Saccharomyces cerevisiae S288C: one gene and its partners. Changing the gene in region 1 together with any one later gene gives a genetic interaction. Each region holds a gene or a part of one and is shown on either strand. Other genes may lie near its edges.

Region 1 (2,722 bases):
TAGCCCGAAAAGCTCGAGGCACCCCAGGATCTTTTTCTTTACGTAATTTTCACGTAAAACGCCACAGTCCGATTTTTCTCGAATAATCATTAGTAAAAGCGGTATACTGGATTATTGTACGATAACAAGGTAGAGCTTTATTACTAAGCTAAGACGTTCTTACATCAATAGTGCTGTTCGTTATTGATGTTAGGAGAAGGAGCGGGTCTGGTGAATAGTGTAAGCAGTGTTTCTGAACTTTTTCTTCGTCTAAGTCCTTGTAATGTAAGGTAAGAATGCAAGCATCTTGTTTGTAACGCGATTGTACGTTGACGTTAGTAAGTCACAAACCCAAGCTTAACTTCTTCGTGAGGAAGGAAAGTGTTGTCTCCTACTTTTTTCAAATTTTCGAATTGTATTTATATTTATTTAGTACTTCTTGAGTTTACATATCCTTCGTAAAAATGCAACTTTTGTCGAAAAACACTTCCAAAAAAAAATAATAATGAATTTATGAAGCATACTAACGAGCGAGCACATCGCTGAGGTATCATTACTTCATGAGATAAATTAAGATCTCCTCATATGCGAATTTCCTGTTCAGTGATAAACGTTGATTACGTTATTGATAAAAGTCTTTTCTTCTGGCAAGGCAGTTGGAACACCAAAGACCAATTGAGATTGTACAGTCCACGCAATAGGAACATCTTGAGGCAAAGCAGATTTGACGTAGTCATTATAGTGTTGCAAATTAGCCCCCAATCCCAATAGTTCGAGGGCAGTCCAAGACTGAATTTGCACAGCACCGGTCGTATGAGCGGCGCATGTTGGGAAAGCGGCTGCCAAGGCTGGAAAATCTCTTTGCAGTTTTTCAGTTGGTCCTTCATCAGTGAAGAAAATGACTGAACCGTAAGCCTCATCTCTGCAAGACTCTGGTCTCTTCTTGGCTTCAGCAGTTGGCATTGCGCTCGCAACAGCATCCCATATCCTTTTGTGTGTATCACCAACGATAATGACAGCGCGATTCACTTGTGAGTTAAAAGCTGTTGGCGTATTCTTGAGAATAACGTGTACAGTTCTCTTTACATCATCCAAACCGACACCTTGTGGTAATTCGGGCTTCAAATTGTAGATGGTACGACGGTTTGTAATAGCGTTTAAGTAGTTTCCAGTTGGGGACATTTCTTTGGCTTGGAGGTCTGGTGTTCTTGATTTTGATGGTGTATATAGCTTTAAAAAACCAAAAATGATCAACCTTTATATCTCTCTTCGATCACAACATGGGTGGAGACAAACACAAAGTAGTGATGACCCACTCAGGTGTTAAAGTGTGTCATATCTGCAAATGACACTGTATTTTTTTTTCCTTTGCCATTTATTGTCGCAGTAAGGAAAAGCGCAGAGCAAAGCTGACAAATTGAAAAATTATTCGGAAGAGCATTGACAAATATTGATTAATAATCAAGTAACACTCGCAGACATTGTTATTTCAGAAGTAAAAATATCGCAGAACAAGTTGGTTAAACTGAATGCTTCAGTCATTCTAATGCTAATTACACCTTAACAAAATTAAAAATTCTTAACGTAGATTTTTAAAAAAGGCAAGAAGATCGTTCCTGATGCACGACGAAAACGGTTGCACCCCTACTAAGGCAAAATTGCATATGCGGATGAAATCAAACCTCTTCTGTTGCATTAAGAACAAAAGGAAATCATTTTTCTCTCACTTCATATTATTTCACTTATATTTTCCTCTCCACTTCCATCACGCAATCGTTAGTGCTTTTTATTTTTTTTCTTCGCTCATAAAGGACTAGAATTAAAATGAAAATCGTCTATCATTACACGTATGCTATTACTACAAAACAGAAGTACAAAAATGAATAAATATAAAAGAAGTAAATGCTTTTTTTTTTAACACCAGAAGGCAACGACCCTTTTCCAATAAGGTCCGTTCCTCAAACGTTCCCTATATTCTTCGTCTTCTTGCTTGATTAATTCTTCATCAAAGATTTGTCTATGAGAATCTAGGTCGATCTTGTCTGCCCTGATGAACAGTTTCCAATCCTTGTGCCAGACCTTGTAGCCGACATAAAGTGCAATCAAGATTGGCATAGCCAAGTAGTTTTCGAAAAAGGCTTGTGCATCCAGCTTACCTTCACCAATGGGGGCGATAGCGACCCAAAATTGGGCAATAAGAATTAAAATCATCATAATGCAAGCGTAGGCAGATCCCCAAACACCAGTTTGAGATTTGAAACCCAATTCTCCAAGAGATCTCCCTTGGACTTTCATGGCTCTTCTAAATCTAAGATGGGATAAACAAATGGCAGTCCATGTGAAAAGCTGAGACAAACCAGAAATGGCCAATAACCAAGTGAAAACTTGTTCTTCCTTGGGAGATGCAGCACAGAAGGCAATAACGGCAAACAATGCAGAAACACCCATGGCAATCAATGGTCTACCGGCTCTGTCGATGTAGGAGAAAACCTTAGGAGCGTAACCTTGCTCGGATAGAGTTAAAAATAAACGAGCACTGGAGTAGAAGGAGGAGTTAGCCATGGACAGCACGGAAAGTAGAATAACGGCGTTAATGAAGTGTGGGACGACACGGACACCGTGGGATGCAACAGCAATGACATATGGCGAGGCTTTAGTACCACCACCGGTAGAACCCAATAATTGATCGGAATTGTATGGCACCAAGAAACCCAGTAGAATAATGGTAGCCAAGAATAGGAAT
Region 2 (3,435 bases), on another chromosome or scaffold:
GTTTATAGGCCCCAGTATTGTAGCCTTACCATTTTGCCCAATAGACAGTGAAAATTTACCGAAACTGGAAGACCGGCCGTGAACCTTCATTGAAGACGATGACACAACAATTGAAGGTGATTGGTAATCCAATGAGGAGGGCGTTTGCATTGAAGGGGCTCTGATTGGCGAGAAGATAAGAGTGTGGCTAGATTGCGGTGTGGAGCTGAATCTCTGCTGTTGTTGCGGTGTTGTGTATACCATTGATTGGTTTAAAAACTGCTTCCTTGCTAAAATCTTTTGTAAAACGAAACCGATAAAGAAGAATAACAAACTACAAAGTAGAAGAATGAATACAGCTGTGCATGAATGTCATATTATGAAAATATTTCATTGCGTTAAATATAATTTCCAGGCCTTTTTTTGCACTTTAACGCGTTTCGCGTCAATTACCCAATTGAGTATAGAAAAAGAGGCAACTCAGGGAGATTATAGACATTTGATTATTTAATTACAGCTTGTTATAAAGGACGAATATCTGGCTTGGGTCCCAGGGGCGTAATTCCCAAGGGGTTGATCCTTGTGTGGGAACGCGTGTAGTGTAACTTGATATGGTCAAAATCTGTTGTGTACCTGAAGGCATCATAATTCCAGTATAAATTTCTTACCCACAAATGAATAAATGGATATCCGGCTCTAATAGAGGTAAAATTGCATTTGAAATGTTGGACGTACACAGGATCGAATCTTATGACGGTAGTATACAATCTAATGTCAGCTTCTGTTAATTGATCACCCACAGTGAAGAACTCACCCAAGATTTTTTGTCTATCTTCTTCACCGTATTTGGCCTTCAATTTGGAATATTTGTCACTCAGGATTTTCTCCACTTTGTCCAAATGTTCAAATACGTTGTTGACTTCACTTTCGTAAACTTCTGCTTTCTCTGCGAATCCGGTCTTGTATACACCATTGTTGATGCTGTCGTAAACCCAAGAATTGAAGTCATCGATCTGTGTTTTCAACTGAGCAGGAACAAGGTCCGTTTTCTTGTGATCGTCGTCGACAAATTCATCGAACGCACTAGAGTTCAAAATCCTTATAATTTCGCTACTTTCGTTGTTAACAATTGTTTGGGTTTCTAAGTCCCACAGGACTGGGACGGTGAACCTTGCCGAGTATTGAGGATCGCTCTTGTAATATAAGTCACTGATTCTCTTGTATCCATAGTGAGGCTCATTGGTAGCATCAACCATGAATCTTTGACTGTCATTCTTGATCTCGGCGAAGCTCTTGCTGGAATCCTCTTTAGCAGTTCTAATACCACCTGCAACATCGTGCCAATGTTCCAAAAAATCTTCACTGTCCTCCAATTGCTTTTCCATGTCCAAAAATCTCCATCCTTTCTCGTCAAGGTGCCAATGGACTACGCTACATCCTATAACAGAGGTTAATCCCTTCAAAGCCCTCGTAATTAGTGTTCTATGGGCCCATGGGCATGCAAGTGAAACATACAACCAATATCTTCCCTTTGCTGGCTTATAAATTGGGTGTTGCTTAGAGATTGTTTCTCTGAAGGACGAAACCTGTCTTTTGAAAGCTCCGTTTGTACCACTCGCCCACTGTTTCGACATTTCTTATTTATCTTGCGCAGGGTTTGGGTAAATTCTCGTAAGCACTGTAGTGATGGTAAGAGCAGCGTTACCTAATTAACTACCTTTATACAAGAAATGGAAAAGGGTTGAGAGGGGTTGGACGCTAAGACAAATAAATAGGGGTGTGAAATTTCAAGAGCTGACTAATATCTTAGTAACGGAGAACAACAGAGAACAGATGATAAAACTATATTGATACGTTCAAAAGGTCTTAGGACCGTCTGAAGAGGTGAAATAAAGATGGAAAAGTTTGCGTCACCAAGCCTTTTGCGTCGGTTTCCTCTGTAACACTTTTTAATTCAAAGTGTTAAAATCTCAACTGTATACCCTCTAATTTGCATAATAATGAAACTAAATGTAAAAAAAAAAAGGAAAGAAAATCACTCCATAATCAGGGTAATGAATCATTTTACAGTGTCATTTGCATGTTCATACACATACCCTTCTTGACAGAATGCAGGAAAAGCCTCAACTATTTATCGGACACATTCGCAAATGTCCATTGACGAGTAAAACGTTTCCGCGTCACTACATTCGTCACTACACAACTTTAAAATACCTTATTTTTTTAATTATGCGGAGTAAGTATCTTTGCAGAACTAGATGGTTGGATTGAGCAGTAGGCATCAGTGACTCGAATTGGTGCTCATTTTTATTTTAACGTACGATTTGTTCAGGCCTTGCTATGACAAGCTTCCTGACGAAATCATACTGCAAGATACATAGTCCCAGTCCATAAACTAGTAGAATGACAAAAAGAAACTCAGAACATACATAACACGATAGACAACGTATTCACGGTTTTGAACCCCACGTAGTATCCTTCTAAATGGCATTGCCTTTACCACATGAAAAACTAAGAGAAGAAAGCTCTCTGCACTAATCATTATAAACGACAGCGGACCCGGAAGCGAGTACCCGAATAGGCCGGGGAAGGAAAAGATAGAAAGGAATCTTTTTTTCTTCCCCCCGCTCTTTTTTTTTATGCTTTTTGGGGTTTTTCCGGCAACTTTCAACAGAAATGCCGTAGCCGGAAAAACCGAAAGCGGGGGACAGTGAAGCGTGAGAGGGGCGAGACAGGGGGAACTTGAATGGGGTATTTTGCTTTTGCTGCATTTTTTCCGCTGGTACCTCTATCTTTAGGCGACCGGAAAAATTCATTTTCTCATCTTTTTTTTTTTTTCGTTTCCGACTCGATACTCTTTACAAAGAAACCCCCGCGGGGAAATGTTAGATTTGAGCTTTTTCCGCCAGGAAAAGAAAAAACCTGGGGACATTAATCTTGTTTTTTCTTTCTTCTTTTGTCTTCCCTTGGATGACTGCAGAAAAAGTACAGTTACCGGGTCTTAGCAAAAACAAACATATATATATATATATATGAAAGCGTATGGTCAACACGGTTTTATAGGTTTTACTTTTTGCATTCAGTTCAACTTTGGCCCTTTCTCTTATCGCATTCAGATACTACACACAAGTGTTCATACACACACAAATAGATACATATACAGAAAATGACTAGTTTGGACGATACAATAATTTCGTACCAGAATATAATGTTACTGGATAACATGACCAACTACAACAAGCCTGCGATTGACTATTTCCATCATGAATTTAATGATGCAAGCTTGGAAATATCGGCTTCATGGACACTACTATTGAAGATGCGCAAACATAAACTACTTCGATTACCAAGTTGCTCTTCAGAGGACGTGCTAGATTACAACATGTACCTCGTTAGGCTACATCATTGCCTCTGGAGGCGTTGGTCCATAAATCACTATGGTTTACAGAACTCCAA
Region 3 (2,737 bases), on another chromosome or scaffold:
CCTCTGCTACATCCTCTAGCACCGCTGAATTATCTAGTTACACCGGTGCTGCTGATGCCATCACCGCTGGTACTGGTTTGATGGGTGCTGCCCTTGCTGCCGTCATGTTATTGTAAATGATATGTGAATAATCATGCGGGATATCCGATTTTTATGAAGCACCTTGCGGCTTGGCCTTTTTTCGAAGTTATGTTAGAATAAAAAAATTTTAATAACACACATTAAGTATGTATGTATATATACTGTTTCAAGTTCGTTGGTCTTCCTTTAATTGTTTGAAACGGTTAAAAGTATCTAATTAAAATAAATATACCCGAAATCATACTAAAAAAATAGTTAATATTAATAAAAGTAATGATAATAATAATAATAACAATAATAATAATACGATGATGATGATGAAACGAAAAACTGCTACATTGAAGTCACTGAGAAACGTAATGAAAAAAAGTCCTTTTTACTAGCCTTTTGAAGGAGAAAGACAATTATATTAGCTTTTCATAGATAAGTTATAAATATGCTATACACGATAACTAATAGCTTTTTTCTGGTTTGAAACCGAGCTTATAATAGGTAAGAAATCAAACCAAGGGCCAATGCACCGACACTTGCTCCTTGGAATGCAGCAGGAGCAGCACCAGAAGAAGAGGCAGAAGAGGAGGAGGAGGATGAGGAGGATGAGGAGGATGTAGATGATTCGACGGCTTGAGTGACGGTCTTGGTGTAAAGGTTGGTTGATGAACCTGAACCGTTTGTCAAAGTAAGTGTCTTTGTTGTACTCTTTTCAGAGGTGGTATCTGGTCCTTCGGTGACAACCTTTGTGTAAGTAGCATCACTATTACTGACAACGACAGTTCTAGTGGTACTGTAACTAATGATAGGGTCAGCGGTGTCGGTAACGACCTTAGTGTAAACGTTATTACCGTTAGTAGCAGTAATAGTCTTAGTGGTCATTACACTCGACACAGCTGCTGCCGAGACGGCAGTCATAACTGTAGTAGCTCCGAAAATAGTTGAGAATTTCATTATTATTGTTTTGTGATGGCTTTATGATAGACTTTTTTACAAGGACCGTAAAATTCTGCCTGAAGCACGCACACATTCCTGTTTTATACATATATTGCTAGGTAATATAAAATGCTAATTATACTGCACCCAGTTAGATTCGTATACATCTTATCCGAACTCGATTACAAATTATACAAGTGATCCAATTGGGTGAACCTCGAAACAGTTCTCTGTTCAAGGGTCCGCTGCGGGGCGAGGGGGGGTGCATTTGAACTTAGGGTGCATTGTTTTAAATCCTATACAGGATATGAACTTAGTTAGTTCAATGATCGCTTGATAAATTGCACCCTGCTCTTGAGGGTCATTCTAAGTAATGAAATTTTGGGTGTTTTTGTTTGCCGTCCTCGTTCAATTCGCTTCCGCCGTTCTGGAAGCCCCGTTAACTTCCGTTCCCGCATTCCGATCGCTGTAGGGCTTGGCGTCAGTAGCACCCAGATATTTCACTGTAGGAGCTTACTTCACTCATTTCAATTGGTATACAGAAATCTATGAAATGTAGTTAAAGGCATCACTAATCCGCATCCGCGATACCCGCAACATATACGGAATGTCTATGTAAAAATGTCTCCTGTGACTTTCATTAATCGAATCTTTCTATAAAAAAAAAAATGAGCAAATCACAGTACACCCACTACTCGCATCATCAACGTTGAGTCAGTAGCAAAGTCTCCAGTTATGGTGCCCTCTGGTCCAATTGTAGTAAATTCGTTTGCACGGATGAAAAATAGCTCATGAATGTTCTTGTGTATTTGAATACCATTATGTGCGCGGCTCATACGGATTTAAGTGTGATCTTCCCCTCCGTATTCCCTGTCAATAACTCAAAGTTTTCCCATTTCGGTTTGAAGTTCTTCACAAGGGAGTTTCTTGGCGCAAAGGCATGATGATCGCATTTGCCTCAGTATATTTCGTCATTTCGGTACTGAGAAACGAAATTATTTTGCCTGTTGTCTTGCGTTTTGGCAACCCTTAAGAATTCATCTAATATGTTGGTCCTTAAAGATAAGCGCTTTTGCTTGTAAAATTCTGATTTTTTGTCTTGTGATGGTAATGCTACATTGAACATCAATGCGTATCTGATTTTAAAAAAAAAATTAGAAGTGTGTATAAAATGAAGGTATTATCAGTTGAGCAAATATTACATGTGCTCTTCAAAAGTACCTGCTTTTCATTTAGTGACTATCAGGATGATAACGCCGCTCGTCTTATTTTTAACTGTCGTTTTCTGATAAATGTGTTGAAAACGTGCTAAACAACAATTACCTGTTCTCAAGAGCCTTGAGCCTGGATTGAGAGCAAAAAATCTCTCTTTCATTTTATACAGAATTCGGAAAGAAGATGGATATTTCATGAAAATCTGTTGGTAAAAAGTGGATAAAAATTTTGTATTATTAGTATGTTCTTAGTGGTTAGGTGATAACGAAGCGAGAAAAGCAGGGCAAATGGAATAGAATAGCGTGTAGTTGTTAAAATTTTATTTCACTGAGGCTTATATGCTTACTGAGAAATTTTTTTTTTTTACAAAAAACTTCTTTTTATGTTATACCAGCTGTGGATTACCACAACAATTGGAAAGAACATCAATCCAGAAAAAAAATTCAGTTAATTTGGAGGAAGAGAAATTTAAGTCATGGAACAAGAGTGGGAGACAGTTAAAAAATGCTTCCAA
Region 4 (2,824 bases), on another chromosome or scaffold:
GAAGGGTCTGATACATTTTTTTAAAGATAAGAGACGGGGTTTACCCTTCGGAGGACTAAGCGAGATCTCCAAGTAAAGATCTCGCTTATCAAGAAAGCAGCCAAGTGTGGAACGTCCTTTTTTTTGGTTTCAAAAAGATATTCAACAGTTTACACTGCAGCTTTAATTGCCTCAAAAGGATATCATGAGGTGATCTAGGGTCAGAAGGGAAAGATTACAGCATCTTGAGTTGAATCACATCTGCAAAAGGTGGTATTATTGACGTTGCTCTTCCTTAATGGAAACTCATGGGGTTTGGAAAGGAGGTGCGGTAATCTATTTTTTTCGAACACAAAACCTAACCTTGAAAAGAAACTGTCCAATTTCATTGAACTTACCTCAGAACGGGCCGGAGTCTTTGCTTTCAGTCTAACATGGTCTAATTTCTTCGAAAAGCTTCATTTAATTGTTAGACTGTGGTTTTACAAGGAAAAAACCAGTGCTATACTGAAGCGATACCCAGAACTAATTACCTTGTGTGACGATTCGGCTCAGCGAAACGGACATGGTAAAATTGGGAATTTGAAAGCAGGCAGCAGCCTTGTACAGCGACATGACGATAGGTTTAGAATCCCCATCACGTACGAGTTGAAGAATTCTACGAAGGCTCTATGCGTTATTCCTCTATCGGTATAAAGTGTAGCGTTGTAGGGGGGATATTGGTGGTTTAGTTGAATTTGCGCAACGAAATTATAGAACTCATAAAAGTTCAATTCAATACTTGAAACCCTTAACGTTGGTTCGACCATCAATTGTTTGGACATAATAGTTTTATTCTGCGGCCGATTTCAAAATTTAGTAAATCAAATGTTGAAGCATCACCAGTAGGATGACCACTCCCATGACAAAACTCCGTCCCAAAGATAGCTTGATCATCCTAAGCGGGTCGCATTTTACTATCCCCAGTTCCGAAGAATAACAAGGCTCAATGCATATGCTGTTTATCGTGCTCACAAGGCGGTATGACGTTTTTAGCAATGTAATTATATTAAAAAGATCTTCAGTCACTATGAGTGGTTGATTGCCCCATAGAGAGCTATAAGCCGACGTGAAAGCTGCTGGTTCCAGCTTGGCTCATGTCGTCACCAGTCACTAGTCACTTGGTCGCATTCATTGCTACTCATCTGCGAGTGAGCATATTTGAGATCTGACTTGCCAAGGGATTAGAATCACGTAAGACTCTTGATCCTTAGAAGATATTTCTGACAAAGAACCACCTAAGCCATGCAAGTTTTTTTTTTCATTTGGTGGCGAAACAAAGGTGATGAAAGTTTCTTCTTGTACAAACGCCAAGCCCGATAGGTGAGACAATTCTTGAAGTAATGGACCTCTGAGTAAGCATATCAGTCGAATGAAGTTCCAATATGCGTTGGCCAAGGAACAGCTAGGCAGCAACTCGCGCAGTGGCGTCAAAAAACTAATAAGTAAACACCACTGGCTTCCGGAATACTATTTCTCTGATCTCTCATTTTCTGTTGTACAGCAGTGGGACAGTAGAGCCATTGAAAAAACTACAATCATATCTTGTATGCGGCCCGCAAACCAAGAGATTTATCCTTTGAGACATTGTGAGACCCTCCGTTCGCAACCGTGCTCTCTGTTTTCATCACTATATGCACGCTCTTTCCAAAGCTCCTGCACTTTGCACGTGGCGGAGCCATCGCCCGGCTTCCATATGTACGGCTGCCACACCTAACTATTTCGGTTGCGGCCATATCTACCAGAAAGCACCGTTTCCCGTCCGATCAACTGTAGTTAAGCTGGTAAGAGCCTGACCGAGTAGTGTAGTGGGTGACCATACGCGAAACTCAGGTGCTGCAATCTTTTTTTTTTTTCCGCGCGCAAGCACGTTACCCGGACCCCGTCTTAGCACACGCACACGCACACGCAGCGCTCACAGACCAGCGAAACAGACCTGAGAGCCACGATGCAGCACACGCTTACCCGGACCGCCTCTCTGCCAGAACGCTCGAGCAGCGCCCACAGCGCCGCTACTGCGTTACCCGCACTTCGCCGCCCGCCAGACAGCTGCGAGACTCTCGTCCCGCTACTGTGTATCTTTTGGTTCGTCTTCGTTAGTATGAGCCCGCTCCCGCCGGCTCGTGCCAACAAATCAGACAACAAAGGCTTAATCTCAGCAGATCGTAACAACAAGGCTACTCTACTGCTTACAATACCCCGTTGTACATCCAAGTCGTATACAAATGATTTATCCCCACTCAAAATGACATTGCTATCCGCCGGCAAGCACCCAAGGCCTTTCCGCCAAGAGCACCGTTGCTAGCCTGCTATGGTTCAGCGACGCCACAAGGACGCCTTATTCGTATCCATCTATATTGTGTGGAGCAAAGAAATCACCGCGTTCTAGCATGGATTCTGACTTAGAGGCGTTCAGCCATAATCCAGCGGATGGTAGCTTCGCGGCAATGCCTGATCAGACAGCCGCAAAAACCAATTATCCGAATGAACTGTTCCTCTCGTACTAAGTTCAATTACTATTGCGGTAACATTCATCAGTAGGGTAAAACTAACCTGTCTCACGACGGTCTAAACCCAGCTCACGTTCCCTATTAGTGGGTGAACAATCCAACGCTTACCGAATTCTGCTTCGGTATGATAGGAAGAGCCGACATCGAAGAATCAAAAAGCAATGTCGCTATGAACGCTTGACTGCCACAAGCCAGTTATCCCTGTGGTAACTTTTCTGGCACCTCTAGCCTCAAATTCCGAGGGACTAAAGGATCGATAGGCCACACTTTCATGGTTTGTATTCACACTGAAAATC

The links.
Region 2: mutations in FRM2 (region 1) and ECM4 together harm fitness more than expected from each alone (negative genetic interaction), as found in Saccharomyces cerevisiae (one large-scale study listed by BioGRID).
Region 3: mutations in FRM2 (region 1) and FIT2 together harm fitness more than expected from each alone (negative genetic interaction), as found in Saccharomyces cerevisiae (one large-scale study listed by BioGRID).
Region 4: mutations in FRM2 (region 1) and YLR162W together harm fitness more than expected from each alone (negative genetic interaction), as found in Saccharomyces cerevisiae (one large-scale study listed by BioGRID).

The regions. Positions count from the first base shown.
Region 1 is NC_001135.5:74,125-76,846, forward strand, and holds FRM2 (type II nitroreductase), read right to left. Parts: upstream 1,162-2,722; coding exon 580-1,161; downstream 1-579. Other genes in the region: amino acid transporter AGP1, read right to left, coding at 1,894-2,722. UniProt on the Saccharomyces cerevisiae protein: Type II nitroreductase, able to reduce 4-nitroquinoline N-oxide (4-NQO) into 4-aminoquinoline-N-oxide (4-AQO) via 4-hydroxyaminoquinoline (4-HAQO), using NADH as reductant. involved in the oxidative stress response.
Region 2 is NC_001143.9:580,461-583,895, reverse strand, and holds ECM4 (S-glutathionyl-(chloro)hydroquinone reductase), read right to left. Parts: upstream 1,614-3,435; coding exon 501-1,613; downstream 1-500. Other genes in the region: MSA2 (Msa2p), read right to left, coding at 1-243; YKR075C (uncharacterized protein), read left to right, coding at 3,146-3,435. UniProt on the Saccharomyces cerevisiae protein: Active as '1-Cys' thiol transferase against beta-hydroxyethyl disulfide (HED), as dehydroascorbate reductase and as dimethylarsinic acid reductase, while not active against the standard GST substrate 1-chloro-2,4-dinitrobenzene (CDNB).
Region 3 is NC_001147.6:1,057,820-1,060,556, reverse strand, and holds FIT2 (Fit2p), read right to left. Parts: upstream 1,027-2,737; coding exon 565-1,026; downstream 1-564. Other genes in the region: FIT3 (Fit3p), read left to right, coding at 1-116; YOR381W-A (uncharacterized protein), read right to left, coding at 1,967-2,134. UniProt on the Saccharomyces cerevisiae protein: Involved in the uptake of non-siderophore and siderophore sources of iron. Has a role in the retention of iron in the cell wall and periplasmic space.
Region 4 is NC_001144.5:487,607-490,430, forward strand, and holds YLR162W (uncharacterized protein), read left to right. Parts: upstream 1-1,966; coding exon 1,967-2,323; downstream 2,324-2,824. Other genes in the region: YLR161W (uncharacterized protein), read left to right, coding at 1,391-1,735; RRT15 (Rrt15p), read left to right, coding at 2,800-2,824. UniProt on the Saccharomyces cerevisiae protein: Overexpression confers resistance to the antimicrobial peptide MiAMP1.